Linked DNA regions of Elephas maximus indicus. The protein of the gene in region 1 interacts with the protein of each later gene in a pairwise test. Links are inferred from orthologs where the notes say so. Each region holds a gene or a part of one and is shown on either strand. Other genes may lie near its edges.

Region 1 (7,658 bases):
CTGGGGCCGAAGTAAAACTCAGGAGCTGGCAGCACGGCGATCCTGGGAGTCCCTGTGCCGGACCTGCCACAGCCTCTGCTCCAATAATGGAACAGAGCTGCCCAGGGAGGCCCATCCTGGCGCCTCTGACCATGTGAAAGATAATAGGGGCAGTTCTGCAAAGTCTCAGTGCCAGAGGTGCCTGTAAGAGCCCAAGAGCCCCTCTTCCCACCCTGATGGACCAGATCACACACAGAAAGAATGCTTCAGCATCAAGACAAAGAACTAAAGGTGCAAACCCACCCCCATCCCAGGCAGAGGTTGGGCCCCCAAGATCCGCCCGTCCGTTCCTAAAACCACCACTGTCAGGAGAATGCAGGCAATTGTTACATCTTTAATTATAACAAGTAGCCACGATCCTAATCCCACTTAAAATCATCGAATCTACCTTCCTCAATGCAAGGAAACTCAGTTAACGAGTATTAAGCGTTACCAGGCACTTCAGAGCAGGACGGTTACGATGCAAAGGCTCTCACTGTGAAGTGCTAGAGACAGGCAGGGTAAAAAACACCCCACAGGGCGGACCCCAGGCAGAGCCTCCAAGACCTGCACCTCCACCATCCTCCTGGGCTTCCAGCGGGGCTGTGCCTCTTAACATGGCTCTTCTCAGATGAGGCCTCGCTAGCTGAGAACTTCACTGCTACTTCCTGGCTGTGGGAGTGAGGGCAAGGTTCTTATCTCTCCTCAACCTCAACTGACTCATCTGCAAAAAGGGTGATAGCCAGGGCTTTTCCATCCCAGATACACTGAACCAGAATCCACATTTAACAAGATCCCCACATGATTTTTATGTATAACTTCCTAGGAACTCGAGATGCAAACTCTCAGCAGGAAACTTGTTAGAAATGCAAATTCTCAGCAGTGGCTGGTTTAAAGCCCTGGATTCTACTAAAGATGAAACAGATAAAGAAAAAACAAACCAGCAAACCCAAACCCACTGCCTTGGCCCTTCTCCATCCAAATCCAAAGGCTTCCAAGCCTGGGACTCCCATGTGGGACCAGGTGGGGCATAAACAAAAGCACCCACCTCTGCAGGCCCAAGCACCCGGCACTCAGGAGAACCTCATGCCTGGGCTGCACCCCTCCAGTTCTTTCGTGGATCTACCTCAGGACCCCAGGCTGTCTCTGAAGCAAGGTCCCAAACCTCGAGACACAGCTGACAAACCCAGTATTTCCACCCTGGCACATGAGGGTGCAGAATTCATTGCTTAACCACTGAAGAGGTTTGGGGTCGGATTTCTCTGTAGAAAAATCAGAACAAACACAGGATCAATCTCTGCTTCCAGTTGGATAGGTCCTCCATGCCAAAGCAACATTTTCTTAATGCAGTAAACCTGCGAAAGCCGGAACCTGTGTAAGGTGGAAACCTGTCAGAAAAAAAGAATTAAGAATATTTTTCACTAATAAAAAAAACAAACCCATTGCCATCGAGTCAATTCTGACTCACAGAGATCCTACAGGACAGTAAAACTGCCCCACAGGGTTTCCAAGGAGCGCCTGATGGATTCAAACTACCAGCCTTTTAGTTAGCAGCCACAGCACTTAACCACTATGCCACCTGGGTTTCACTAATAGAGAACGACAAAAAAGTGGTGACTGCACACTGTCGAAGGCAGAAAACTTGCGAGACCAGGAAAAACAAAATAGTCCTGTCAAGTTCCAGCTCTCACAGATTCTCCTGTAGCAAAAAACATTTAGGTGAAACATCTTTAAAATAGAAATAAAAAAAATACAGTAACTTTGCAAACTGAAGAACTAAACATAATTTAAGATTACAAAAACCAAAAGAGTTGATTTTGGGATTTCAGGGTGACTGGAGGCCCCCAGCAAGCGCCCAACTAATCACTCCCTTCCCTTGCTCCTACTCAACTACCTACCAGTTCCAACCACCATTTAAGTGGTACAAAACAATCTTAAAAACTCTCCCTAAAGTGAGGCGCTCATCTTCAGACTCCCACCAACTCCACAACACGGACAGCCGCTACAGCAGCAAGAAAACTTAGCCTTGTTTTGAGATTTGAAGACACCACAAACAGCATCCCCCCGTGCCTCCCCCACCAGGGGCCCGCGATTTTGCAACGAAAGACTTTCAACTCCCTGCTGTCCATTCTGTCCCTGGCTGGAAGACGCCAGACGTTTGCTGTCCATCCCTGTGACCCCGGAAATTAATTTCCCCAAAGGTAAAGGAGCGCTTCGGGTTGGTGCGGCCGTCCTCCAGAGCCGCATTCCTGTCAACACCGGCCTCAGCTCTCCCAGCTCCGGAGCTACGGGCTCCTTTCCGCTCTCCGCGCGCCACACAGCACCTCTGCAAGGCCGCCTGGCGCACCAGAGAGAAGGATGTTCCCCCCTTTTCAGGAAAGAAAGTGATGGGAACTCCAGGAGCGCGGCCGGGACGTGACCCCAGAGAACCACGGGGACGCTGTCCACCCGAAAAACCCCACGCTGGGAACGAAGGCAGGACGGCCCGGAAGCTCATCCCGTAGCCCGGCAGCTCACAACTCGGCGAGCAGAATTAAGTTTCGAAGCACAGACAACCTTCCCTCTCAGCCCCTTCCAGAAGGTGAGAGAAAGCCCAGCCCCGTCCGCCGCGGACTGCGGGGTCCCGACCGCGGCCCGGCATCGGGGAGGCGGGCGCTGGGCGGGCGGGCGCGGGAGGGGTAGGCCGCTCGCCCGCCCTAGGACCCCGCGCCCGACCCCGGCCAGGCCCCGCAGTCCGCGGCCTCCCCACCGACCCTACGCGCCTGCCGGCCCGGCGCCCCGTGGCCCAAGCGCCGCCCGGCCTGATCCGGCCGGAGGCTCCCGCGGTCTCCGCCCTCCCGGCCGCGCTCACCTCCGGCGGCCGCGGCCCGGCGAGTCGCGAAGAGCGGAGAGCCTTGCGACGACGGAGGCGACGGAAACAGCAGCTCTTCTCTTTGTCTCGGGACTTCTCTCCCGAGCCCGCTCCGCGCGCAGCCTGAGCAGCTCCGAGGACCCCGGCGCGGGCGGGGCGGGGCGGGGCGGGGCCTGCGCAGGGCTGCCCGCCGCGCGCCCGGCCCGCGCGCAGCTCTTGCAGCCCCACGTCCCGCGCCGCTCAAACTACCGTGCGTCCTCTGCCGCCTGCGGCCGTCCGCCGCGCGCCCGCGGCCCGGGCCCTCCCCGGGAGCCCGGTCTGGCGCCGACTTTCCCGTCAGGCGAAGGCCTAGACACCTGCGCCCTTAAAGGAGCCGCGTCCCCAATTTGAGGGAGCGTCTAGAAACTCCTCCTCGGGAAGCGCGCGTCCACCCGAGGACACGCCAGCAAGCAAGGGGGGAAATGGGAGACAGAGATCGCCAAGAGCTCCCCGGATGCCCGGCGGATACCTCTCCGGGCATATATCCTGGGGGTCTCCTTGGGGTCAAGGTCCGGCGCTGGCGGGCAGAGACCACTGAGGCCTAAGGAACCCCCAAGCGTCGCAGGACGGTGACGATCCCCCGAATACAGAGCCCTGTGAAACCTCTTGCGATTGGCCAGTTCGAGACCCTGGCCGGGGCGTCCCTGGAATCTTCCCAATGAGCTGAGGCCGTACAGAAAGCCGAATGCTTGGAGGATCGACGGGAGGGTAAGTGGGGATGGTCCCTAACCTGGGGGCCGGCCCTGGGTGGGGGAGGGGCGCGGGACCGCGGGCTCGTAGGGGAGGGGAGGCGGCGGCAGCGGGGGAGGGGAGGCCGCGGCGGCGGCAGCGGCAGCGGGGGAGGGGCGCTGCCCGCAGGACCCCGTTCCGCGCACCCAGAGTCTAGTTCTCGAGTCTTCGGTGTTTGCAACGAATGAAAGTATGGAAGTTTCGCTCGCAAACAAGTGGCCCTGCTGCGACTTCATCCCTCGTCGGAGTCGTTGTAGCCTCTCGTTCCCAGCAGAGCCCAGCGCCCCGAAGCCGGCTGGGCTTCTGAGACCGAACTTCACAGAGGGGGACAGGGCACCTTCTTCAGGGTTAACTCGCCTCCGGACTGTAATCCGAGGCGCTTTGGGGTCAGAAGGGACAGATGTTCTCAGAATCCCCCCTCCACCAGGTGTCAGCTCCGAGGACGGTGGGGGCTTGTGGGCTGGATGGCTGGGAAGGGGAGGCCAGCCGAGGAGGGGGAGGGACGGCCTGAGGTGCTCTACTGTTAGGTACTCTTTTATTCTTCTTTTCTACCTCTTTCCCTCCTTTTCTACCTCCAGCCTTTCTCTCCTCCTTTCCGTTCCTTCCTTCCCTCATTTTTCTCTGCCCTTCTTCCCTTTTTCTTTCCACCCCCAGTCGTCCTTCTCTCCTTCCTTCCTCCAGAGTCCCCTGGCTGAGGTTGTCGGGTCCCTGAAGTCTGTGGTCCACCTTCCTATCCCCTACAGCGCCCTCAGTGGGTGCTCCGGATGAACCCCATGCACTCCATCCATCCTATTGCTCTGAGGAAGTAAATGTGACTGGAGAGAAGTCCTAATCCAGTGTGACTGGTGTCTTTATAAAAGACAAGAGACACAGAGGGAAGATGGCTATGTGATCTGAGAGGCAGAGACTGGAGTGATGCATCCACAAGCCAAGGAGTGCCTGGGGACACCAGAAGCTGGAAGATGCAAGGAAGCATCCTCCCCTAGAGCATTCAGAAGGAGCATGGCCTGTGGACACCTGGATTTAAACTTCTAGCCAAACAAGAAATTTCTGTTGTTTTAAGCCACGAAATTTGTGGTACTTTGCTACCAAAGCCCCAGGAGACTAATGTCACTTGTCTTTAAAGTCCATCCTGACTCATAGTGACCCTATATGACAGGACAGAGCTGCCCCATAGGGTAATTTCTACCAGGAGCAGATTGCCAAATCGTTAATCCCGTAGAGCTGCTAGTGGGTTTGAACCTCGGACCTTTCTGTTAGCAGCTGCTTAACTCTTGTCATCAAGGCTCCTTAAGAGACTAGTACAGCCAGTTAAATTAGAATTTCAGATGCTGAAACCCACTGCCATTGAGTTAATTCTGACCCATCTTGTTGAGGGTCTTTCTCTTTTTCACCAACTCTCTACCAAGGATGATGTTCTTCTCCAAGGACTGATCCTTCCTGATAACATGTCCAAAGTATGTGAGTTGAAGTCTTGCCATTCTTGCTTCTAAGGAATATTCTGGCTGTACTTCTTCCAAGACAGATTTGTTCGTTCTTCTGGCAGTCCATGGTATATTCAGCGTTCTTCGCCAACACCATAATTCAAAGGCATCAATTCTTTGGTCTTCCTTATTCATTGCCTAGGTTTCGCATGCATATGAGTCGATTGAAAACACCATGGATTGGGTCAGACACACCTTAGTCCTTAAAGTGACATCTTTGCTTTTTAACACTCTGAAGAGGTCTTGTGCAGCAGATTTTCCCAATGCAATGCATCTTTTGATTTCTTGACTGCTGCCTTCATGGGCATTGATTGTGGTTCCAAGTAAAATGAAATCCTTAATAACTTCAATCTTTTATCCATTTGTCATAATGTTGGTTATTGGTCCAATTGTGAGGATTTTTGTTTTCTCTTACCATTAGTAATATGTATTGCATGTAATGTTGCTGCATGTAATTTGCTAATGTTATTGTTCTCAGATGTTCACTCTAAAATGTTCAGTTTTATGATTGACTGTTCAAAGCAAGCTATGGCCTGGTCTACAGTGAAGTCGGTATTGGTGTCTGGAGTCTTAAAAGGATAGAAAGCTGAGCAATGTTCAGCTCTAAGGACACACACAATTGAGCTGCGTTAGCGCCTGACAGCGGTTACAACTCTAGCTTCATTGTTCTGACTCTGATGCTGACTTCATTGTAGACCAGGCCTATGGTGTGATCTTATTCAGCATCTGGTACCATAAGAAGCATCAGTTGTTAATCTGAAGTTGAGTTGTTCAAGTTTCTCTAACTCACACTTGTACTGCTTATACCCCCAACAATATGTCTAGTAAAAGAAGTCAAGCCGCTGAAAGTTCTAATCCAAAAAAGAAGGTGAGGAAGGTTCTAGACATGGATATAAAAATGAAGGTCGTTAAGGCCTGTCCAATAATGAGGAAGTTGTCAAAAAATTTTACAGTGAAAGGATTAGCTGACTTGTTTTCTGAACTAAATCATGGTCTTCAGTTGCTTGACAACATGGACCCAAATGCTGATCGCTCTGCTAAAGTCGATAGGCAGATTTGGGAAGCCGAGATACGTTACCAGGAAATATATGAAGAAAAGGACCATACAGACTACTCTCACTAATTTTCTGACTAGAAACGACATCTCCATTCCCAGATATAATCCAGATGATCCAGAACCTTCCACAAGTGAGTTACCACAACTGACAAAATGCCAATGTTGTCCAACTCTTCTTCGTAGGAGTAAATTTTTATGATTTGTGTATTTTTTGTATGTATTAAAATATATCTGTAAGTTTACATGTATGTTTCCAACCCCCAAAGAGAAATAAAGATCAGATTTATAAAGATACTGATAATAAAAGGCAATAATAATGAAAACTAAAAAATTAGGTATTTGATTTACATCAGGACTGACTTATGACTAAGTTGTTGGAACAGAACCATTTTAAGTATGGGACTACATGTACAGTGAAATCTGTGAGAGCTGGAACTCGACAGGCCTGCCTCATTTTTCTGGGTATCGCAAGTTTTCCACCTTTGACACTTTTGTACCACTCGTTTTAGTGGGAAATGTTTGAGTTTTCCTTCTCTGACAGATTTCCACTTTACACAGGTTCTGGCTTTTGCAGGTTTTATTGTACTAATATTCCTTATTCATCTGAAACTCAAACTTACCAGGGCATCCTGTATTTTAATTTGCTAAAGCTGTCAATCTACTCTTCATCAGTTTTACTGCAGAATATTAACGGGTTTGGCTATGACAGGCTGTCCAGACCTGTGTGACCTGGCCCAAACATCTTACCCCAGGGCTTGCAGGTGAAGGGGAGGACCCACGAGTCTTGTCTCCCAGCCAGCAGAAGACAAAGCCCAGGAGAAACGCACGGGGGGGGGGGGGGCCTGAGGAGGGGCCCTGAGCAGGTGAGGCCTGGGGGAGTCAGTTCCTGGAGGCAGAGTCTCAGCTCATGCCTCAGGTGGGACACACGGGGGAGGGCCTTGTAGGCTGCCCCTTCCCAGGAGGGAGCCTTGGAGAAGGAGGGCCCCACCTCCCCAGAGCCCAGCTCTGGATGGGAGGGAGTGTTCATCTGCAAATTAAATGAGTAAACTGGGCCTCCAAGGTCACCCCAGGGAGGCGGCAGGCTGGGGAAGGCTGGACCTGAGCCCACCATCCCCTCCCAGTCTCGTCCTCTGCCCCCAGGTCCAGGTGCTCTCTGTCTCCTCCTCCGAGATGCTCTCCAGCCCGAACAAGGACACACCCCTGACCTTTGAGCACTTGCCCTGCCCTGCAGCCCAGCACAGCACATGGAGACTTTCACAAGTAGCCAGGACACTGACCCACCTGGGTCCAGTGCCTCCTACACCCAGCTCCCCTTCCAAGCTCCCTCTAATCTCCAGTGGACTAGTCTTCGGTGGCCTGCCAAAAGAATGAACAAATCAATCTTAGAAGAAATACAGTCAGAACGTTGTTCAGAATCGAGGATAGCAAGACTTTGGTTCACTTACTTGTACATGTCATCAGGAAAGCCAATTGCTAGAAA
Region 2 (7,069 bases), on another chromosome or scaffold:
GAGGGGGTGTGTGCGACAGACTCGAGGGCGGGCGGCCGGCCGGCTGCGCTGCGCCCCCTGGCGAGGGCTGCGCGAAAGCCGGGCCGGGTGGGCGGGGGCGGGGCCGGCGGCGCGCCATCCCGGGAGGGGTGGGGCCAGTGGAGCACGTGCCTCGGAGGACTCGGGAGGGCGTGGCTTCGCAAAACAGAGGCGGTTCTCCAATTGTTCGTAGACAGAAGGGCGGGGAAGCGAAGCCGGGGTCAAGGAGGGGGCGTGGCCTAGAATCTAAGGACTTTTATCCACGGAGAGCCAAGCGGGTGGAGCCGCCTGCATGCGGCGGGAAAACCGGACGCCGGTTGTATCTCAGGAGACTCGGGACGACGAGGAACTGGGCCCCAGTGGGAGAGGCGGGGAATAGCTTTTAGGATTCTTCTTCCTCCCCCTCCTCCATGGACTTCTGCCTTCCTGCATTTCACCTTCTGTCTCTCAGCTCTCTTCTCCACGCTGCTCCCCCTCGTATTTCATTTCCGAATGCATTCTGCCTACCTTCACCGTGGGCGACTCTGTCTGGCGCTGAGTGGATGCTGAGGATAGAAAAATGAATACGAAAGTTCCAACCATCCAGACACTGCTTGTCTGTGCCCGCTGACAGACCCGCGAACAGGTAAATTACAGCGCAATGGGACATTCAAGGAGTTCCGGTGGTGCAATGGTTAAGGGCGCTTCGCTGCTAACGGAAAAGTTGGTGGCAGATTAACAACCTAGGTAATCCTATGGGACAGTTCTAGTCTATCACATGGGATCCCTATGAGTCAAAATTGACTCGACGGCACCCAACAACAACATGGGATGTTAAGTGGTATAAGTTCCTAAATATCTCAAACTCTTCTCATTTCCATTTCTTATTGCCAGTGTGGCTTTACTTCGAGCCCTCAGCACTGTTACCTAATTTCAGAAACCTCTAAAAGGGTCTCTAACCGCTCTCTCAACCCAATTCTTTTCACACTCTGCAAGAGTTACCTTTCTAAAATCCAAATGTAGCTGTATCACACCCTTGCTTAAAGTCCTTCAAAATTCCCCACCTTCTATAGGATTATGTTTGAACTCCTTAGCATGGCATACAAAGCCCTGCAATATTTGGACCTAGTTTCAACAACATCTGACAATCCCTCTCTTGAAACCCAGGGTTTCAATCATGCTAAAATGCTGCTACTACGACCACCACCACCATTTGCCATCAAATTGACTCCAACTCCTGACAAACTGCAGTGAAATGTATCACTTTTATGTGGCCTTTCTAGCCATGGTCTTGTAACTCACAACAAATAAGTGGGCATGACTACACACATAAGGAGCTTGTAGCCCTCCAAGGGGATAGGACACCTTGCTAATAATAAAAATAAGGTGCATGGCACCCTTGTGGGGTTGGGACCATGCAAATAAGGTGTATGGAATCCTAATGAGGGAATTGATCAGTTTTGCCATTCCACTAGGCTTAAAATGAGCTATCCCAGAGGTGGAGTAGGGGGGGGACTTGACTACCACCAAAAAGAAGAAATGGGAGCAGAGTGTGTCCTTTGGACCTAGGATCCCTGCACTGAGGCCCTCCTAGACCCAGGAGACAGAGAGAGAGACCTGTAACACCAGAGACGGCAGGACAGTGAGAAGCAGTGGCAGAGAAACAACGGCAGCTGAAGCAGCAGAACCAGGAGACTGGCAGGAAACAGCACAGTGAGCTTCCTGGTCACCCACAGAGCAAGAAAGCTGAGCACCTTCGAGCAGAGCACCTTCTGGTAGAGTGGGGTGCCTCCAGGCACTTATTGGTGGAACTAGGCTTGCTGACCCACTGAGCAAGAGAGTTAAGCACCTTCGGGCCAAGGCTTACTGGTGGAATGGAGTACCTCCAGGCATGTATTGGAGGAGCTAAAGAGCTTTGTAACACTTGCCCAAGCAGGGTAGAGGCTGGGCCAAGGGGCCAAGAGAAAGAGAGGCCTACCTGTGGGCATGGCTGAGAAGAGGCTGTCTTGATTGATCTAAGAACTGTATCGTGAATTATAAACTCTTACTGCCCTAATCAACCCCCTAACTGTGAGTATGGTCAGTGAGTTCTGTGTGGCTATTGCAAGGAATTATTGGACACAGCAGAACAGTAGAGAGTGCCCTGCGAGGGACGGCTGGTATCAGAATTGGTAAAAGGTTGGAGGGTGGTGGTATGTTTGACCTCCACCATGTAGGAATCAGCCTTGGGCTGTTGATGCTGACAATGACCCTCTCCCCCTTGTGAAGTTAGAGGAGGTCAGATGCCTCCTAAGCACCATTTTTACACAACCCCACATGTGTCAGAGTAGAACTGTACTCCACAGGGTTTTCAATGGCTGGTAGATTATCATTCTGCATTTCTTCAGAGGGGCCTCTGGGTAGAATCAGACTTCCAAACTTTTGGTTAAGCCAAAAAAAACCAAACCCACTGCCGGCGAGTCGATTCTGACTCATAGCGACCCTAGGACAGAGTATAACTGCCCTTATAAGGTTTCCAAGGCTATATAAATCTTTACCAAAGCAGACTGCCACATCTTTCTCCCGTGGAGCAGCTAGTGGGTTCAAACCACTGACCTTTCAGTTAGCAGCCAAGCGCTTAACCACTGTGCCACCCAGGGCTCCCTAACCTTTTGGTTAAAAAAAAAAAAAATTTTTTTTTTTTTTTAGGAACCAAGAAATCCTGGCAGCTCCCTGAAATGCTTTGTTCTGTCTTGTCTCCAGCCTTTGCGGAAGGTATTCTCCTCCAATTCACTTTCCACCAGTTGGTTCAGATCTCAGCTCTTCTAAGAAACCCAGAAACACATTCTCAACTCTCCTTCCCCAGGAAGGGTCTAGACTGTTGTTTTTAGCTGCCTGAGTCAGCCCCCTACTCATGGTGACCCCAGGCACGGTGAAACAAAATGCTGCTGGGTCCTGCAGCATACCCATGATCGGTTGTAGATCTGACAGTTGCTAGGGTCTGTCTAGACTAGAGCTGTCTTACAGCAGCCAGGGCACCACTGTTCATAACAGTGCTTGTCACATGTTCACCATTATTTGTTTACAGGTCTGTCTGTGCCATTAGATTGTGAAGGTCTGGTGAACAGTAATCCTGCGCCTGGCATGATGTTGGACACATAGTAGACACTCAGTAAAGGCTTGTTGAAGAAATGGTCTGGGAAAGGTGTTCATGGAGGAGGAAGTGAACTCTCCAGTCCTTCATCCCAACGCCTTAATTACACTTCCTCCCCTATTTTACAAAAGTTCTTCTCCTAAACTGTTTCTACGTATAATTGGTCTAATCTCAATCTATTCCCTATCCCAGCCCCCCTCTTATATTCTTTAATTTTAATAAGGCAATCCTCAGGTTATTCTTTCATTTCCCTTTCAACCTTCCTTTCTGACCATTTTTCAATTTCTTCTATAGCGTCTCTGACCCTTCCCGGTTTGTCTTAAGGTCTTTCTCTTTTCTGCTCTATTTTTTCAATTCAGTAAATTTATACTTCTCACACATTATGTGTAAAGCACGTTAAGATACAGTTCTCAAATGATTTCCCTCTTTAGGATATCTGATTCTCCATCCCTGCATTTCTGAAACATTTCCTCCACGGTCATGTCCCCCGCTGCCACATGTGCATAACTTTGCTCAGGACAAAAGGTCGAAGCCCCTCTTTCCTGGGCTTAGGTAGGCAAAATGTTTTAAGCACCGGATGTTTTCAGGCTTGGAGAAACAGAGCTGACCACGAAGCCTCACAAGAGTCAGAAGGTTTGCGGAGCGGCAACACTTTGTTTTATTTTACATCTCCAACCTAACTACGTAAGCTACAGCAGTCTGGATGAAAACGGCACAGGACTGAAGAGCCAGACCTCTTCGAGTGGAGCCGGCTTGGCAGGTAAGCAAGCGCGTCTTGCGACCCCCTCCCCGCCCCACGGACCGCCGCCCCCGCCTTTCCCCGCCCCGACCGGCGGGCGCTGCAAGCTACGTGAGCACGCGGCGGCGTGCGCGGCCCTGGGGCGGAACCCAGGGGTAGCTGGGAGGCGACGCAGGGCGTGCGTGCGTGCGTACGTGCTCGCTCACAGTGGCGGCAGCGGAGAGGAAAGGCCAGAGCCGGAGACTGAGCGGGGATCGGGCCCCGGGCTGGGGCGTTGCGAGCGGCGCCGACCGGATCCTGGGGGCGGGAACGGAACCGGGGCGGGCGGGACTGGAGCGGAGCCCGGGAACGGGGCGGGAGGTCCCGGGGTCCCGGGTCGGGGGGGTGGAGCCGCACTTCGTCGCCGCGGGGGTGCCGGGACTCCGGCCGCAGTGCCGCCGCCATCACGGACTTCCTGTGGGACAAGCGCACGGGCCTCGCCGCCAGAACGGTGAGCGCGCGGGCTGGCGGACCGCGGGGCCGTGCGGAAAGATGGCGAACGCGGGGGCGCGCCCTGCGGGGCGGGCGGGGATAGGACCGGATTGGGGGCAAGGGACTGGGGCAAAGATTGGGAGGAGGATGCAGAGCTGCAGAGGTGGGGAGTAAAGAGATGAGGTGGAAGCAGGTCGGTCTGCCTTATATATATCCAAGAACGCCTATAGAAAACTTGGGAGAGGCAAGAGTAGGAGAAGGGGTGATGGAGTAGGGACAGAAGCTCCAGAGATGAGAAAGAGTAGAATAGCGAAGTTGGACTAAGCTGAGGAGTAGGACAACATAGATTGTCACTTTGAGGATATGGCGTCTGACTCTAGGAGTGAGTTCTGGATTTTTCGAGTGAGAAAGGGAAAAAAGATTTAGAAGTTGAGACAGATCCTAGGTTAGATATGCTCTAGGGAGAAAAGGCCTGTGCGCGTCCTTGGTGGCAGTGTGGTTGTGGTGAGATGGCACTTATGCTAAGCAAGGTTGGATAACCAGGGGTATTCTTTTGCTCGCATTTTCTTGGTTTTCTCTCAGCTCTGTTACAGTAGGACTGAGTCAGCTATCACTCTCTTTAATTCGAAAAGGTTGGGAAGAAATGGCCAGGAATGGGTGTCATGTGTTGGTGTCATTTAGCTTTTTCTACACCTAACCCCATGTCCACCCGAGACTTCTGTCCCCGGACCCTCTCATTTCATTCTGCCCTCCTCTTCCCTTCTTTCTGGAATGTGACAGTGATTTCTCTGTGACTTTCCCTGAAGAGAAAAAAAGATCTGTGCACCATGCTGTTCCATCCCCAAATAACTTGAAGGTAGCTAGCTAGCTCTAGGCCAAGTAGTGCTAATATTAATTAAAAACCAGTTATTCTCTACTTCCCAAGTACAAGAGGGGTGGGGCCAGGTAGGAAGCTGAGACTTGACATTAAAACCTCTCTAGGGGATTTGGCAGAGATACTTCAAGGGGCCAGGCCCAGATTCTTGAAACTTGATTATATTTGGTATATACTTGCTATGTGTAGAAACCTGGAAAACTGGATTCGTGCCCTCAGGACATGGATGGTCTCTTTATGGAGATAAGATACTTAAGGACTATAAAACCTTTGTCAGAACAATTACAGTAAAGCTAATGTCTATTGAGCCTGTTGGCACAGATCTGTCTTGGGTCATAGCCAAGGATGAAGGGTGGCGGTCTCTGTCAGTCACACAGTCTCACCTGTAATAGAGCTGTGGCCCAGACCTGAGGGCCTTCATGGAGCCATGTTTGAGGAAAAGCAGGGTAGAGGAATGAGTAGAGATGGGGTAATTGTGGGATGGGAGGAGAGCCTATTAGAATTTTCAGCCAGATTTAGTAGGTGAATGTGTACCTTAAGTTTGAGAAATTGTAAGCACAGAGAAAGACTGCAGAAGTTGTGGGTGGTAAAAAGAAATAGGGATAAAAGAGCAGAAAGGCCCTTAGGATCTCTGGAGCACTGGGTCCTTGGAGGGGAACTTTGATGGGAGCTTTCTCCACTATTTTTTCTTTTCCTTCCTTTCTAGATGCCTCATCCCCGAAGGTACCACTCCTCAGAGCGAGGCAGCCGGGGGAGTTACCATGAACACTATAGAAGCCGAAAGCATAAAAGACGAAGAAGCCGCTCCTGGTCGAGCAGCAGTGACCGGACAAGGCGACACCGGCGGGAAGACAGTTACCACGTCCGTTCTCGGAGGTGAGGCCTCAGGAAGAGAAACTCAATCTCAGGTCACGCACTGTTCAAAAAACACATACTGGTTCCGTGCTAAGAGCATTGTGCAGAACAGCTGGGTGGAGATGATGTTCAAGGTGGCTAGCAAAATAAAGCATTTGCACTGCATTGGTAATAGCTGTTATCATAGGGGAAGTACAGAGCCTGGGCTGAGGAAGCACCAGCAGGTTTGGTTGGGTGAGATAAAATGTGTAGTTCAGGGGATTTCCCAGAGAAAGTGACATCTAAGCGTGTCTTCAGTTGGAATAGGAATCAGACTAATAGGAGTCAAATGGAAGAAGTGTCCCAGGCAAAGGGAAAACATGTGCAGAGGCCTGGGGGCTAGAGGTAGCTGATGGTTTAATAAGCAAGACAAAGTTGGGTCTATATAGTTTTAATAATTTCAGCAGTATTCAGGAATGGTTTGGAGCAAGGCTGGATTTCAGTTGGGGAGGCTGGAGAAAGAAATGACTATTGCAGTGTATCACTGGAGGGGAGGAGGAGACCCCCAGAGAGAGTGAGTACTCTGCAGATATCTTTTCAGAGGCCTTGGTGACATACAGGTGTGGGCATCCTCCCATTTAGTCAGCTCACGCTTCTGGTTCTTGGCCCGCTTGGAGCACCATAATAGGTGTCTGGGGGCAATTTTTCGAGCATTACTCTTCATTGTTCTTACTGAGGGAGGATCTTGTCACATGGCAGAAATGTGGCTTGAACACATGTACCTAATGGATGTTTTTTTTTTTTGTCCCATAGCAGCTATGACGACCGTTCATCTGACCGAAGGGCGTATGACCGGCGATACTGTGGCAGCTACAGGCGCAACGACTACAGCCGAGATCGGGGAGAGGCCTACTATGACGCAGACTACCGGCATTCATACGAATACCATCGGGAGAACAGCAGTTACCGCAGCCAGCGCAGCAGCCGTAGGAAGCACAGGCGGCGGAGGAGACGCAGCAGG
Region 3 (7,963 bases), on another chromosome or scaffold:
GTATAACACAGCTGTACGTTTTTATTCTACTGGGGTATGTTCCTCCTCAACTTATATAGATTTTGCTGATCAATTAATCTAGCATTACTTGTATTAATGTTAAGGTTATTAAAAATGTAAAATTGTGTGTAACCAAATTGATTCACGATGCTGACAAATTTTATTTCAATACTAATTATGTTTTACGTAGTATGTCTGCATGAAGATCATTAGGTAACTTAAAACCTTGAACTGATATTAAATTGAGTTAATCAATGGATATACATTGGATGCCTGGGTCATTTCTAAGTAAGATACAGCATGGGAACATTGATTACTTAGCACAATTTTAAGTTTATATTCTTGTGTTTCTTTTATGTTCTATAGAAAGACTGTATTTTGGGGCCATGTTAATGAAGTGCTTGTTTTTGCTACTTTGAGAAACTGTATAAGGGGTGTGTGAGGTTGTATAAAGCTGTGCTGTGTGTATTCACGAGCTCTGCTAGTCTGCCAAAACATGTAACTGAGTTTTCAATTATCCACCACCTTATTTACTGTGTGAAATGAAAGTGACTTTGGCTAAAAGTTATAATTAACATAAGTGTTTGAGAACATTTTTAAAACAAAACCAAACATGTTGCCATTGAGTCAATTCTGACTCACAGCAACCATATAGGACAAAGAAGAATTGCCCCATAGGCTTTCCAAGGAGCGCCTGGTGGACTTGGACTGCCGACTTTCTGGTCAGCCGCTGTAGCTCTTAGCCACTATGCTACCAGGGTTTTCTGAGAGAATATAATTTAGGAGCAATATTTTCAGAGAAACAAAACTATGTATATGCTATTTTTTCAAAGAAAAGAGTAATTTTGCCTTAAAGCAATGATTCTCATCTTTGGGGAGTTTTTTGTTTTTGTTTGTTTTGGTCTCCAAGCCTCTTCAAACTTTCTGAGGATCCCAAAGAGCTTTTACTTTGTAGGTTACAACTATTTATGATTACTGCATTGGAAATTTAAAAAAATGAGACATTTTTTAATGCTTATTTTTAATTCATTCAAAGAGAGCAATGCTGAACACGTTGCATGTTAATAACATCTTAGCAATATTATTACATGAATTCTGACCTTATGGACACCCTGAGATTTGTCCTAAAGTGTCAATTTGCTCCAGAATATGAAAGAGTATAACAAAGGACAAAATGTAGAAATGAATTTTATTTGTGTTGGCTTGTAATACCTGACTGAAAAGTTCTGAGATGTGTTAAAATGTTAGCCAAGTTTGCTCAGTTATGATGGGCTTGTTTCCTTGGCCTATTTTTTATTGCTTTTGCCTAAAATAGGAACAGTTATTCTTTTCCTTTCTAATTTGCCTAGGTAGCAAATATTCTCTTTCCAGAATAATTTCATTTGCTCTATGTTGTCTTTTTTTTTTTTATGTTGTCTTTATTTAAGAAGACAAATAAAGGTTCCTCACTTAGCAATCTTTGTTTTTTATTGTATCATCTTTTACAAACTTGAAAAAAAAGCATTCTTGGCTCTAGAGCCATACAAAAACAACTGGCTAGATTTGATCCAGAAGCCATAATGTGTCAACCAATGAATAAAGAAAATCTTTAAAACACGATCATTTTTATATCTGTGTGAGATTCATACTTTACCTTCAAAAGTATTTTTTAACACCTATAGCTGAGATATAGATGTTGACGGCACTGGGTATAGCTGAGATCTGTTTCCCTCTGGATAATGTGAATTATTCCCACGCACTTAGCATGATGCCTACTGCAGTACATGCTTAATAAAAATCTGCTGGCTCCCATGTTGTAGGAGTCCCTTCTACGCTCTTCTACTGATCCATCTCAGAGGCGCTCTCTTGGTTTTGTCTTCTGGATTTCCACTTGCCACCAGCTGGACTCACACCCACACCAAAGCACCAGAGCACAGAAGATGGACATCTGCTTCTATCTCCACCCCTCCCACAGCTGTAACTGTATGGCCAAAGTATAAACTAGCCTTTTTTTTAAAAAAAATAATTTTTATTGTGCTTTAAGTGAAAGTTTACAAATCAAGTCAGTCTGTCACATTTAAACTTATATACACCTTACTACATACTCCCATTTACTCTCCCCCAATGAGTCAGCCCACTCCCTCCTTCCAGTCTCTCCTTTCGTGACGATTTTGCCAGTTTCTAACCCCCTCTACCCTCCCTTCTCCCCTCCAGACAGGAGATGCCAACACAGTCTCAAGTGTCCACCTGATACAAGTAGCTCACTCTTCATCAGCATCTCTCTCCAACCCATTGTCCAGTCCCTTCCATGTCTGATGAGTTGTCTTCGGGAATGGTTCCTGTCCTGGGCCAACAGAAGGTTTGGGGACCATGACTGCAGGGATTCTTCTAGTCTCAGTCAGACCATTAAGTCTGGTCTTTTTATGGGAATTTGGGGTCTGCATCCCACTGTTCTTCTGCTCCCTCAGGGGTTCTCTGTTGTGCTCCCTCTCAGGGCAGTCATCGGTTGTGGCCGGGCACCATCTAGTTCTTCTGGTCTCAGGATGATGTGAATCTCTAGTTCATGTGGCCCTTTCTGTCTCTTGGGCTCATAGTTATCCTGTGACCTTGGTGTTCTTCATCCTCCTTTGATCCAGGTGGGTTGAGACCAATTGATGCATCTTAGGTGGCTGCTTGTTAGCATTTAAGACCCCAGAAGCCACACTTCAAAGTGGGATGCAGAATGTTTTCTTAATAGAATTTATTTTGTCAATTGGTTTAGAAGTCCCCTTAAGCCATAGTCCCCAAACCCCCGCCCTTGCTCCACTGACCTTCGAAGCATTCATAAACTAACCTTTTTAGCAAAGGCATGTGATAGCTTTACTGTCTCAAAATATTGAATTTAGAGTTGCCAGACAAAATACAGGATTCCCAGTTACATTTGAATTTCAGATTTTTTTTTAATTAAAAAAAAATTTTTTTTTTTTTTAATTTGCAATAGTTGGGACACTCTTATGCTAAAAAATTGTCATTTATCTGAAATTCAAATGTAACAGGGTTTCCTCTATTTTTATTTGTTAAGTCTGGCAGCCCTATATTTACTGAGAATCTATTACACTCTAAGTTTGGAACCCACCAGGGGCTCCGTGGGAGAAATACGTGGCAGTCTGCTCCCATAAAGATTACAGCCATGGAAACCCTATGAGGCAGTTCCACCCTGTCCTAGAGTATTGCTGTAAATCAGAATCAGCTGGAAGGCAATGAGTTTATTTCAGCATAGGGGATTGTAGTGAAGTCGAGAGAATTCAGGACTGATCAAGGAAAAATATATAATTACTAGATAGCAGTGTTATGCAGCAAGAGATTATTGGGGCCAATGTATTAACAGCTGCATACAGCGGAGGTCTCCACAGCAGAAGGTCTGCCAGAGGCACCTTAAGGAAAGACGGCACGAAAAACCCCGTGAAAGGGAAGGGGGTAGTTTATGTGTTCCTATGTGATGTCCGCCTGCAACAAGCTGGGTGGTCTCTGGGTCAGAGGGCTCTGAAGGCAGCAGCATCTTTGTAGTCTCATAACTACAAGGCCAGCAGATGTTGGCTGCAGTTGTACGGGGTATGTAAAGCAGGCAGGCTCTAGGTGGCTAAAAATCTGCTTATTTGGACTTTTTTTTTGAAACAATTGAATATTTGGATATTTGAGTTTGGTGCCAGCAGGCTTTTTTTGGGCTAACGAGTCTCAACTTCCTATAAAGAAGTAAACAACTTGGGGCCATTCCACAGAAGCCATCTTTAGTTCATTTATATGACAGGGACACAGCCAGGAACAAGACAAAATACCTCCCTCACAGAACAGACTATTAAGTGGAGACAGGTTAATAAACAAATTCACTGTTGTGTTAGCTAGATGAGCGCTAGGTAGAAAAATAAAACAGGGTAGGTGGGTAGAGAGAGTAAAGTTGGATGCTGGTTTTAGCAGAGAGTCAGGGAAGACTTTTCTAACAAGGTGACCTTTAACAGGAAACTAAAGCAGTGGTTAAGAGTTAAGGCTGCTAACCAAAAATCAGCAGCTCGAATCCACTAGCCACTTCTCGGATACCCTATGGGGAACTCTACTGTGTCCTGTAGGGTCACTATGAGTCGGAATAGACTCAATGGCAGTGGGCTTTCAGTTAAGTGAGGGAGCCAACTGTGTAACTATAGGGTGAGGGCACATTTCAGGAAGACAGAATGGTAAGTGCAAAGGACCTGGGTCAAACCAAAACCAGTCACCATCAAGTCAATTCCAACTCATGGCGACCCCATGTGTGTCAGTGTAGAACTCTGCTCCATAGGGTTTTCAATGGCTGATTGTTTAGTAGATTGCCAGACCTTTCTTCCAAGGCACCTCTGGGCACACTCCAACCATCAGCCTTTGGGTTAGCAGAAGAGCAGGTAACCACTTGCACCACCCAGGGATTCCCAAAGACCTTGGAGGGGGGTTTAATTGGCCAGTTCCAGGAATAGCAAGAAGGCCACATGGCTGGGCAGAGTGAGAGAGGGGAGAGGGGTAGGTGTGAAGTCTGAGAGAGGCCGCTGGGGCATCCTTGCGTAAAGCTCTGGAGGCCTCGGTTAATCTTTCTAGGTGCTAGAAAGCTGAGCTTTAAAAGAATAAAAATAGCACCGGTAGAGTTGTAATTGCTCGGGGGTGCAGTTGTTCAGCTATTATCTGAGGAGCTTGTTAAGAGCTGTGTTTCAGGAAAAACAAACAGGGAATAGGTCGAGATATCCCAAACTGGACTCTTGTTTCTCAGATGAACTCTTCCCTGCCCAATTCCCTGGAAGGATTCTCCTGCCTACATCTAGCCCCATGGATGCAACCAACTGAAACTCAGGAACATCACCGGTGAAAGGAAAACTGCTAATTCAAGAAACTGCCAGGATTCGAAAGTCCCAAACCGAATGGCTCAGAACTGCCTCGGAGGACGAGCTTTACTTTCTGGATCTGTCTCTGCCAAAGTTAATCAGAGTGCTCAGACCCAGCAAGTCTTCCTGCCAGCGGACGTTGGGCCCTCCCTTGAGCGCTGCTGTGAGAAGCGTTTTGAGGAAGTAAGTTTATAAAGCTAGCTTTTTTGTTTTCCCTCCACTTCAACTTCACTGTTTCCTTCCGGGATCTTTTGGGGCTCCGCCTTCCACAGTGGTTTCACTTCTGAGTTTAACCCGGTCTGAGTTAACTTCTCTACCCACACTCCGAAAGTGGCCGCTACAGAGGGGACTAGCAGGGAATATGTGACGGTCGGCTGTGGAGCAACGAACTTGGGAAAGGCCCAGGCCCAGGTTTTCTTGGTGGAGGGATATGATTTCTGCGTGTGTGAATGTGTGTGTGTGGGTGAGGGGTGGGGTAGGTACGCTTCGTGGTGCGAGAGCCTCTCCAAATCTGAAAATCGTCAGAATTTTTCCTTATAGCTCTCACTCGTGTTTCCTTTCTCTTTCACCAGCCCTCCGTGCCACATTTCAGAAGATCCGGGTTGTGAGGTGACTGAAGGCCAGGACAGCACCCTGGGACTTCAGAAGAGGGGAGGCACTTCTTCCCTAGCAGCGCAGCAGCCCGGGCAGAGAGGGGCTTCGTGTATCCTTTGATAGAAATCATCTGCCGAGGAATAGAATTCTCCAAGATGACACTCTGTGTGGCTCCAAGAGAACGGTCCTGATTATCAGAGGGAAAACACCTATCCGGTAAACCAAAACCATTGCAGTTGTGTCGATTCCAACTCACAGGGACCCTATAGGACGGGGTAGAACTGCCCCATAGGGTTTCCAAGGAGCGGCTGGTGGATTGGAACTGCCTGCCGATGTTTTGGTTAGCAGCTGAGCTCTTAACCATTGCGCCACCAGGGCTCCATAGATCTGTTAACTTTAGTCAAAATCCTGTTTTTAATTCCAGGCTCAGTCAGTTCAAAGGAAAGGTCACTTTTCGATTTTTCTCCCAAACTCTCAGGGATGGGAAGAGGGAAACAGGACTAGGTTCCTGAAACAGCTGCAGCAGGGGGTGAGAGGTCAGATTCCTTTGCTGTCTCTGGTGGCTGGGTCTTTACTGATGGACATTAGGGGGTCCAGCACCAGGGATCCCACAGAGGCTTGATTGCCCCCACCTGCCTCCTTTCCCACCTCCCCCACGTCCTGGCCACGCTTGCCCACAAGTTCTGCGAACTCCCTGTGCTCCAATCACCCTGGACTTCTGGGAGGCAGTCCTGACCTGGAGAAGGGACAGTCAAGGCCCTAGTTCTCTGGGAGCTCTGCTCCCCAGACTAACCCTTCCCCTCTCTATCTCTCTTTCTAGTACTCTCTCCCTAAGTACCATGAAAGGAGCCCTGGTGGCGCAATGATTAAACACTTGGCTGATAACTGAAAGATCAGCAGTCTGAACCCACCAGCTGCTCCACGGGAGAAAGATGTGGCAGTCTGCTTCTGTAAAGATTACGGCCTTGGAAACCCTGTGGAGACTCCTATTCTGTCCTGTAGGGTTGCTATGAGTCAGTATCCACTCCACAGCAATGGGGTTGGGTTTTGTTTTTTTTTTTCCCAGAAGTAGCAGGAGGGAGGTTGGAAAAAGGACAAACCGGTTCTTCTAGTTGCCTTGGTTATTTTCATATTCCCCTGGCGGGTCTCCACTGAGACTTTATTAATCTCCGGAATTTTTTTCATCTTGGAGTGAGGGCAGGGTAGAGAGATCTGGGCGTGGGGGATTCAAACTTGATTATGTCAATGGAAACTTCACAAAACCAAAAACCAAACCCACCACTGTCGAGTCAATTCTGACTCATAGTGACCCTATAGGACAGAGTAGAACTGCCCCATAGAGTTTCCAAGGAGCACCTGGGGGATTCGAACTGCCCACCTCTTACTTAGCAGCCATAGCAGTTAACCATTACTACACCACCAGGGTTTCCTAGAAACTTCACAGACCACTTAATTACTCCAGTGTTGCTACCAGTCAAAAAGAGAATTCTTGATGTTCACTAGGATGTGAAAGTTTCACACTCCCTCACTGATTTCTCTCTCTTGGGGCAACTTCTGTGAGGACACCTTCCTTACTCCTCTATTTGTCTCAGCACTTGGTCCAAGAGAATTTTTGCACTGATGGAATGTCCTAGATCTGGGCTGTCATATAGCCACCAGCCACATGTGGCTACTAAGACTGAGAAACTGAATTTTAATTTTATTTCATTTTAATTAAACAGCTATATGTGGTAATAGCTACCATATTAGACAACACAGCTAGATGTTTATGCATCTTCTAGATTCTAGTCCATTTCTTCTCTCTAGAAAGAAGACTTTAAGACCCGTGCAGTCCAGTGACAGCCAACTCATCACACAGAGGCTCATGTGAGGTGTATTTCCATCACTGTTGAAAATTCTGGCTGCTTTATCTCTGCTTCTAGATCCACTGTTCAAGGTTTTTAATAAAAGCCATGGCCTCAGCCACACCTGCAAAAAAGATGAGGGAGGAAGCCACCTGCTCCATCTGCTTAAACTTGATGGCTGACCCAGTGAGCATCAGCTGTGGACACAGCTACTGCCACTTATGCATAGTGGGCTTCTTTGAGAACATAAGGCACATGAAACCACAGGAAGAGAAGTTCTTATGTCCTCAGTGCCGAGCCCCCTTTCAAACGGCGAGCGTCCGGCCCAACAAGCAGCTGGGAAGCCTCATTGAGGCCATCAAGGAGATGAACTGTGAAATGGTATGTGAAGAACACGGAGAGCAACTCCACCTGTTCTGCGAAGATGAGGGCCAGCTCATCTGCTGGCGCTGTGAGCGGGCACCGAAGCACAAAGGGCACACCACGGCTCTTGTCGAAGATGTAAGCCAGGGGTACAAGGTGAGTGTGGGGGCCAGAGAGGCTCGCCAAGGCCTGGTCTCATGCTGTTCTCCAAGACCTGAGATTGTTTAGTCTGAAACCCAAGATTATGATCCGGAAGTGCAGCTTTCGTTGTGTCATTCTTCTGAAAAACAGTTTTGATGGGTC
Region 4 (7,775 bases), on another chromosome or scaffold:
ATTAAAAAAGGAACCAAACAAATCCCCTGGGCCTTCAGTCCTCTTCACAGCCACTCTTGAGGCTTGGGCTCACACATCATTCCCTCCAGCCTTCTGCAGGCTGACTTCCACCCCAACCTATCTCCAGAGTTGCACTTGCAAAGGTCACCAGTGACCTCCCATTGTCAATCCCGGGGACGTCTTTTAGGCCTGATCTTACTTGACTCCTCATGGTTGATTTTGCCCTTATGTTTTCTCCTCCTTTACCGTGTGATTTTTTTATTATTTGTATAGTTATTTGTACCTTGCCAAGGCTGATAGCATTTGCATTCTAATGTGTAATTGTAACACCCACAGTTCAGGGTTAGTTCTGTATTGTTGACTGACTTGAGTCTATAAAAATCCATTTCTGAATTAGCTGATGTGATTTCTTCAAGTAGTTTTCTTAAGAAGGACTCACGGGTGCTATATTCCTTGGATTCTTGCATGTTTATTAAGCATGTCAGCTTATTATTCTTAATTTTTTTTATCCGATTACAGAAATAACACAAATTCCTTACAAGAATATAATAAAATCATATTTATTCATTCTTCTGTTGATACAGATGTGAGTTTTTATAGGCCTGTCTTCCTAAATCCTTATCTTCCCTTGGCTTCAGAGATATTAGGCTCTAGTTTTCTCCCACTTTGGATGTCCTTCTCAGCTCTTGCTACTTAAATTGGTCACTTGCGTTGGCCACACCTGGGAGCTTGCGTGTTAAAAATCTCAGGCCCACCTCAGCCTACTAAATCAGAATCTGTGTTTTAACGAGATCCCTAGATGATTACTGTTATTGCCATTTTCAGCTCACAGTGACCCCAGGTAACAGTAGGGCTGCCCCATAGGGTGTCGTTGGCTGTAATCTTTACAGAAGCAGATGGCCAGGTCTTTCCACTGTGGAGCCACTGGGTGGGTTCGACTGACAGCCTCTCAGTTGGCAGCTGAGCACTTAACCATTTGTGCCACCAGGGCTCCACTAGATGGTTAGTGAGCACAGTGAAGTTTGAAAATTATTGTCGTCTAGGGGTGATTACCTCTGTCTTCAGTGAAACTTTAAATGTTGGATTTTTTTTTCTTCTAATTTTAGGCAAGCTCCTCTTCTCTGTGTCTTCAGATGTCATCTGTATGCCAACAACTCAAATCTCCAACCTTGTCCCTCTTTGTATATCGGCTGCCTTATGACAGCTCCTCTCAGACACTGCACAGGCATCTCACTTCTATTTGGCATTTTTCAGCATCTTGCATAGTACCTAACAGGTGCTGAGTAAGTATATGCTGTCTTTTGGCAGAATACGTGGTCAGGTTGGAGATTTGAGTCCACTCAGAGGCACCTTGGAAGAAAGACCTGGGGATCTGCTTCCCAAAAATTCAGCCATTGGAAACCCTATGAAGCACAGTTGTACGCCTGACACACATGGGGTCGTTGTGAATTGGAATCTACTGTATGGCAACTGATGCTTACTGGTGTTAGCAGGCATGGAAGCTTCAGAGTGTGGTGATTTTGGGTCGTGAAAAGCAAATGTACTTTGCTCTACACACTTGAGTTGGGGTTTTCCCTTTCCTTTACTGTATTATCATGTTTGTTCAGACCTCTATCACGTATCAGGTCCTTTGCCCCCCTGGCTTTTCCCACTCAAATCATCTCTTTTATTAGACACATAACTTTTCTTCTGTAGCCACAAAGTTCTGAGGATTATTTTCAGGAAAAAAAAAAAATAAAAGGAGTTTTTAGGAGAAAAAATACATAGTACTTAAAAAAAAATACCACATCACTTTGCCACAGGTCTGGAAACTAAAAACAGGTGAATTCGTTTTCCTCAACATTGTTATGTTTATAACGAAGTTTGATTTTTGACTTCGTGTGTTAAGCTGTTGAAGTTTTGAGACTTGCCTTAATTTTTGTCAGAGAAGAGAAGCATTTTTTAGCATTATAATTTAACCGACATTTTGTACATGCTGTGATACCTGTCCCCACCACGAGTTGCCTTGGAGTTGGCCCTGACTCATGGTGACCCCGTGGGCATTAGAGTGGAACTGTGCTTCATATGGTTTTTCACTGGCTGATTTTCAGCAGTAGATTTCCAGGCCTTTCTTTCAAGGTGCCTCTGGGTAGACTCTTAACCTTCAACCTTTTGGTTAGCACCTGAATGTGTTAACTGTTTGCACCACCCAGGGACTCCAGCTATCACCATATCATCCAAATGTAGAAGCGCCCTTTTCACAAAGAAGAGTTGAGAGGAGGAGGAAAGCCCTAGATGTTTTGGATTGAGGGATTCAGTTTAACCCAGTGATCACTAATCTGACAGCTGTAATTTTATTTTACTATAAACCTCACTGTGTGATTTCTAGGAATGTTTGGTTTGCAATTTGCTTTATGATAACATCGTGATCTCTTCCCATGTCTGACTACTTTTCTTCATTCTAAGCTTTTAATTTTAAGTAACCATTAGTTTCATATTGCTGCTGTAATACATGGACACCTTTGGAAGGAGGGGGCATTACTTGGGGGAGCACAGTAACATTTGTAAACTAAAAGGAAAGGGTAAGCAAAACATCGTGGATTAATTAGAGTAGCCAGGCACTGGGTTGTGACAAGTCAGAGAAATTCTTAGTCATTTATAAAAGGAAACAAATAACTGCCACATGAAATTGAGAACAAAAGTTTAAATCCATCTCTTCCTTCTGCTTTATGTTAATATGGCAGAGCAATAGTTAAATGGTCTGACTGTAATAAGATGCTAATATGTTTTGATTTAGGTTAAAATCCATTTAAACTTTATACCTAACTGGGTTTGATTGAAATGTAGGCTTAGAAATGGTAGGTAATAGCAAACTCTTGTTAAGTTTTGAATTTTTGCTAACTTTGGGTTCTGTGTGCTTGCCTTAATGAAATGTTTTTATGAATTTTTCTAGCTCTAGTGTAAAAAAATATTGTACATAGTTGAGAAATTCTACTAAGGTTTATTGTGCTAAAAATGAATTCAGTAAGAGCTTGTTTGCTAACTAAAAGGTTGGCTGTTTGAATCCACCAGGTGCTCCTTGGAAACTCAATAGGGCAGATCTTTTCTGTCCTGTACAGTCTCTCTGAGTCGGAATCGAATCGATGACAATGGGTTTGGGTTTTTTTTTATAATGTACGTAGAGAATCCCTGGTGGTACAGTGGTTAAGCACTCAGCTGCTAACCAGAAGGTTGGCCATTTGAGCCTACTAGCTGCTCCAAGGGAGAAAGATGTGGCTGCCTGCTGCCTTAAAGATTACAGCCTTGGAAGGCCTATGGGGCAGTTGTACTCTGTCCTGTTATAGGGTTGCTATGAGTCGGAATTGATGTTGTTAGTGGGCATAATGTACATAAATTAGCCATTTTCCCTTAATTTAGACAAAAGCCTGTGAGGCTGAAAGTATTATCCCAGTTTTACAGCCTGGATTTGAATTCAAGTTTGACTCCAAAACTCTCCCACTTTTTCTAGATTGAGGGGTTTGTCTTGTTTTCAGAGTGCTCTAGGGGTGTGTGCTGCTCCTTTGGGAGCCATCAGCTTACTTTAGATGTTAATTTTATACAGAATTATTAATTACGTTTGGAAAAGTGTCGGTGCCTAAAACGTTTGAAGTCTTCCCTGTATCCCTAAGACTTATCTAGAATGAATGGGTATTAGAAAGTAAAAATGCAGGTAATAGTAATTATATTTGCATGTGGGAAATGGGCTATATTTCTGGTTATATTTCCTATATATTCCTAATGATGTTTTGTGTAGCCTAATATTAAATAATGAGTTTGAAGTGCTTGCACCCACGATTTGGGGGAAGGGGTGATAAGTTAAACTTGGTTGCAGAAAAGTGAGCAGTCTGCGTTCACCGCCCGGGGTTCCTGGTCCTGCTGCTTCCACAGGCTTTGCTAAGCGTGATGCAGTGACAGGTTAACAGGCTTTTCTAAGCGTTATACTAAAAACCAAACCAAACCCAGTGCCGTCGAGTCGATTCCGACTCATAGCGACCCTGTAGGACAGAGTAGAACTGCCCCATAGAGTTTCCAAGGAGCGCCTGGCGGATTCAAACTGCCGACCCTTTGGTTAGCAGCCGTAGCACTTAACCACCACGCTACAGTGACTGGTTAACAGCCTTTTCTAAGCGTGGTGCGGTGACAGGTGAGACCTCTGAACGGCTGCCTGATGCAGTGATGTCGGATGCCCAAGGCTTCATTGCGGCAGGGCACGTGGTGGTTTAAAAACAAAGCTGGCCGCTGGGAGTTGAACGAGGCAGTGTAAGCTGGCTTTCCCAGCGTGGCAAGAGGCTACAAGGGCCGTTTGGAGGTTAAAGCAGGAGTTTTAATTGAAGCGTGCGCACACCTGAGGCCCCGCCCCTAGTGCGGAGAGGCAGTGGGCGGGGCGTCGTCGCGTCCCCGTGGCTCCGCCCGGCCTGCGGAGGAGCGTCGGCGCGTCCCTGTGGCACGGCCACCTCCCTGGGTGCCACCTCCCTGGGTGCGGCGGGGACTGGGCCGGCCGGCGGCGCCGCAGCTTGGAGTTCGGCATCACGGTTCGGGCGTTGCAGCTTCCGCCTACAAATGGCTCTTCTTTCCCTGTGGGGTGGACCCTGGAGAAGCTCCGGACTTGGAGAGCGCACTTCCTTTTCCAGCCACCTCTGCGCACCCCTGTAGGCCCGTCCTTTGCCCGGTCTTGGCGGGAGCCCCACTCATGAGTCTGGGGAGGACAGGCTCCCGGGATAGACGGTTTCGGGCGCCGCGGGCAGCTCAACGATGCGCCCGTGTTTGGAGACACAGGCGACTTAGAGCGAGCCCGGAGTGTGGTCGCGCCTGCTCGTGGTCGCCCCTGCTCGGGGTGGGAAACTCTGATTCCTCGTGCCTGTGCAGAGTAGGACACCTGCCGTTGTTCCTGTAGAACCTGATCTCGGGCTCGAGCTGGAGTCTTCCGGGCTTGGGAACACAAGGGGGTGTCCGGAGGGGCCTCTGTGATGAGGACGCGCCGTGAGCAGCCTGACTTCTCATGGCGGGGAAACCTGCCCTGCCTTTTCTCTACTCGTTGGGGGGAGGCTTGTTCCCTTGTCTGCCTGCAGCTAGGACAAGGGAGAGAAAAGGTACTGGCTGGGTTGCTTACATTGTGGGACTTGTATGTTGTCAAGTCAGTGGAGTCTGCCCGGATCAGCCCCACCATGATAACAGCGCTTCCCGGGGTTAGCCGGGACGTTCCATTTGATCTCGTTTTACATCAAACTTGAGGTTTTGTTGTAACTTCTGCAGGACTGTCAAGACGGTTGAGCCCTTGGTGCTTACTGCAAAGCTGCTGTATGGCTGGGGACTGACTGGGTCGCACCTTTGGAGTTCTGGGGTTTTGGGCAGCTACTTCTCTGTAACACCTCCACCACATTTCACTTGGAATAGGAATACAAATTGTACCTTCTACGACGTTTGGAAAAATAATTTGTTGTAACATGATCGTGAACTATCGGTGAATGCATAACGAACTAGGTCAAGCAATTGAACAACAGTGTTTTTCTTGCTTGGTAGCTCTATTATGTTAAATTACAATTTCAGTTTACGGGCCTTCGATGTCCTTAGTTGTATTGGTTTAGTGACCCGAAAGCCCCTGCTGGCTTGGCCTTGCTTTCTGCCCAAGCAATCACTCCGCAGTGTCCTGTTGTTCAGCGGGCGCGACTTTTAGGGTGTTGTGTGGCAGTACTAAGCCCGTTGTCTTACACCTGACAGTGGGTAGATCATCAGATGCGCAAAGAGCCTACATGGAGGGGAACTGACTGACAGAGCTCTCTGGTCCCCATGTTGGGATAGAACGTCAGGGCTTCAGGTGAGCCACGTTCTGAAGGGATTCTGCTGTGCTTCTGTTTCCCCTCAAACTTTAGGATATCCTCTTATTAACCATGGAATTGATCTTTTTTTTTTTTTTTAATACCCTTAACCTGCATTTAAGGTATCTATTGTTAATCATTTGAGTAATCTAGACCCCAAATCGTATTTACCTGGTCATATTGGTAACAAGCATTGTTTCTTAAAAGATAAATTCTTTGCAATGGAGTAACAGTTATAACTGAGAGGAATCAGTAAATTTGCTGTACCTTAGTGTAGAGTTATCGGCATTCTTAGGACAGGAGCAGATGATTGATCTTCATCATCCCTCCCCCTAGACAGTGACCTGCCATATCCTGGCAAAGGTAGATACCTGGGGAAAGGTGCTTGTTTTTGATCTAGGCTGACTAGGTATACTGTTGATCGTTGCTCCCAGGTAACATTTAGTTCTTCAATAATGTTTACTATTACACTGCTAACAAGTGTGTCGGCAGCACAGGTGAACCTCAGGGTGCAAGGAATCCTTACCCCATCGCCAGTGTTCTCTGTGCCTCTCTGGTGCTTTTATATTTTTTGATGTGGAATGAACAGAGTGATTTATGTTAAACTCATTGAGGATGGCCCTTCCATTCTCCTGTCGGCTCTCGTTTTTGAGGAGGGCACTGACCCCTAGGAGACAGGATTATACCTAGCCATGTTAGTGTTTCAGGGAGCTCTCTTAGATGATGCTGGGATGGCAGCAGGCCCTTCCTCTCAGGACTGCCTCTCCTCATCCTCCAAATATACCACTAGAACAAACACTGTTCACCCTTCGAAGCGTTCATGTCAGTACTCTGGTGGTTCCTTGGCATTTGAGCTGTCGGACTCACCTGTAACTCCTATAACTATGAGCAGCTGAAAGGAAAGCGACTGAGTGGGGTTAACTGAATTCAGAGGGAGGATTTGTGATTGGACTTAAGCTGCTCGTATGGTGTTTCCTAGTTGTTTACAGTTCAGTTTCTCTTTCAGCATTTCATTTCTTATTCCATGTGGTTTTGGAATTGGCAGTGAAGCCCATTTTTCTTTTTTTAAAAAAGCAATCCTAAACATATCCTGGAGCGTTTTGAAAACAGTAGGACCCTTAATGATCAGAATGCATATTTAGTATAATTTAACCCTATTTATTTTCCTTTGTTCTTCTCCTTATAGTAAAAAAATTTCTGGCATGTAAATATTATTTGCAAAACAAATGACAGTTGTAACTCTATTTTTATTTCTGTGTTTTTATTTTTTACAGAAATGAGCCGTCAGACCGCCACAGCATTACCTACTGGTACGTCAAAGTGTACGCCATCCCAGAGGGTGCCTGCCTTGACTGGCACAACCGCATCCAACAATGACCTGGCGAGCCTTTTTGAGTGTCCAGTCTGCTTTGACTATGTGTTACCGCCCATTCTGCAGTGTCAGAGTGGCCACCTTGTTTGTAGCAACTGTCGCCCAAAGCTCACGTGCTGTCCGACTTGCCGGGGCCCTTTGGGGTCCATTCGCAATTTGGCTATGGAGAAAGTGGCCAATTCAGTACTTTTCCCTTGTAAATACGCCTCTTCTGGATGTGAAATAACTCTGCCACACACAGAAAAAGCAGACCACGAAGAGCTCTGTGAGTTTCGGCCTTACTCCTGTCCGTGCCCCGGTGCTTCCTGTAAGTGGCAGGGCTCCTTGGATGCTGTCATGCCCCACCTGATGCATCAGCACAAGTCCATCACGACCCTGCAGGGAGAGGACATCGTTTTCCTGGCTACAGACATTAATCTTCCTGGTGCTGTTGACTGGGTGATGATGCAGTCCTGTTTTGGTTTTCACTTCATGTTAGTCTTGGAGAAACAGGAAAAATACGACGGCCACCAGCAGTTCTTCGCAATTGTACAGCTGATAGGAACGCGCAAGCAAGCTGAAAATTTTGC

The links.
Region 2: the proteins of UBE2I (region 1) and CLK2 interact in a two-hybrid assay, tested with the Homo sapiens proteins (2 studies listed by BioGRID). The two-hybrid records come from large-scale screens. The link is inferred for Elephas maximus indicus from reciprocal best matches to the Homo sapiens genes UBE2I and CLK2.
Region 3: the proteins of UBE2I (region 1) and TRIM38 interact in a two-hybrid assay, tested with the Homo sapiens proteins (2 studies listed by BioGRID). The two-hybrid records come from large-scale screens. The link is inferred for Elephas maximus indicus from reciprocal best matches to the Homo sapiens genes UBE2I and TRIM38.
Region 4: the proteins of UBE2I (region 1) and SIAH1 interact in a two-hybrid assay, tested with the Homo sapiens proteins (2 studies listed by BioGRID). The link is inferred for Elephas maximus indicus from reciprocal best matches to the Homo sapiens genes UBE2I and SIAH1.

The regions. Positions count from the first base shown.
Region 1 is NC_064830.1:58,455,815-58,463,472, reverse strand, and holds the start of UBE2I (SUMO-conjugating enzyme UBC9), read right to left. Parts: upstream 3,010-7,658; 5' UTR 2,870-3,009; intron 1-2,869. UniProt on the Homo sapiens protein: Accepts the ubiquitin-like proteins SUMO1, SUMO2, SUMO3, SUMO4 and SUMO1P1/SUMO5 from the UBLE1A-UBLE1B E1 complex and catalyzes their covalent attachment to other proteins with the help of an E3 ligase such as RANBP2, CBX4 and ZNF451.
Region 2 is NC_064821.1:193,168,987-193,176,055, reverse strand, and holds the start of CLK2 (dual specificity protein kinase CLK2), read left to right. Parts: upstream 1-4,069; 5' UTR 4,070-4,359; intron 4,360-5,920; coding exon 5,921-6,090; intron 6,091-6,861; coding exon 6,862-7,069. UniProt on the Homo sapiens protein: Dual specificity kinase acting on both serine/threonine and tyrosine-containing substrates. Phosphorylates serine- and arginine-rich (SR) proteins of the spliceosomal complex.
Region 3 is NC_064819.1:73,100,000-73,107,962, forward strand, and holds the start of TRIM38 (E3 ubiquitin-protein ligase TRIM38), read left to right. Parts: upstream 1-4,952; 5' UTR 4,953-5,042; intron 5,043-5,118; exon of another isoform or gene 5,119-5,270; intron 5,271-5,431; 5' UTR 5,432-5,669; intron 5,670-7,259; 5' UTR 7,260-7,405; coding exon 7,406-7,816; intron 7,817-7,963. UniProt on the Homo sapiens protein: E3 ubiquitin-protein and E3 SUMO-protein ligase that acts as a regulator of innate immunity. Acts as a negative regulator of type I interferon IFN-beta production by catalyzing 'Lys-48'-linked polyubiquitination of AZI2/NAP1, leading to its degradation.
Region 4 is NC_064839.1:7,688,463-7,696,237, forward strand, and holds the start of SIAH1 (E3 ubiquitin-protein ligase SIAH1), read left to right. Parts: upstream 1-4,760; 5' UTR 4,761-5,017; coding exon 5,018-5,108; exon of another isoform or gene 5,109-5,833; intron 5,834-7,108; coding exon 7,109-7,775. UniProt on the Homo sapiens protein: E3 ubiquitin-protein ligase that mediates ubiquitination and subsequent proteasomal degradation of target proteins.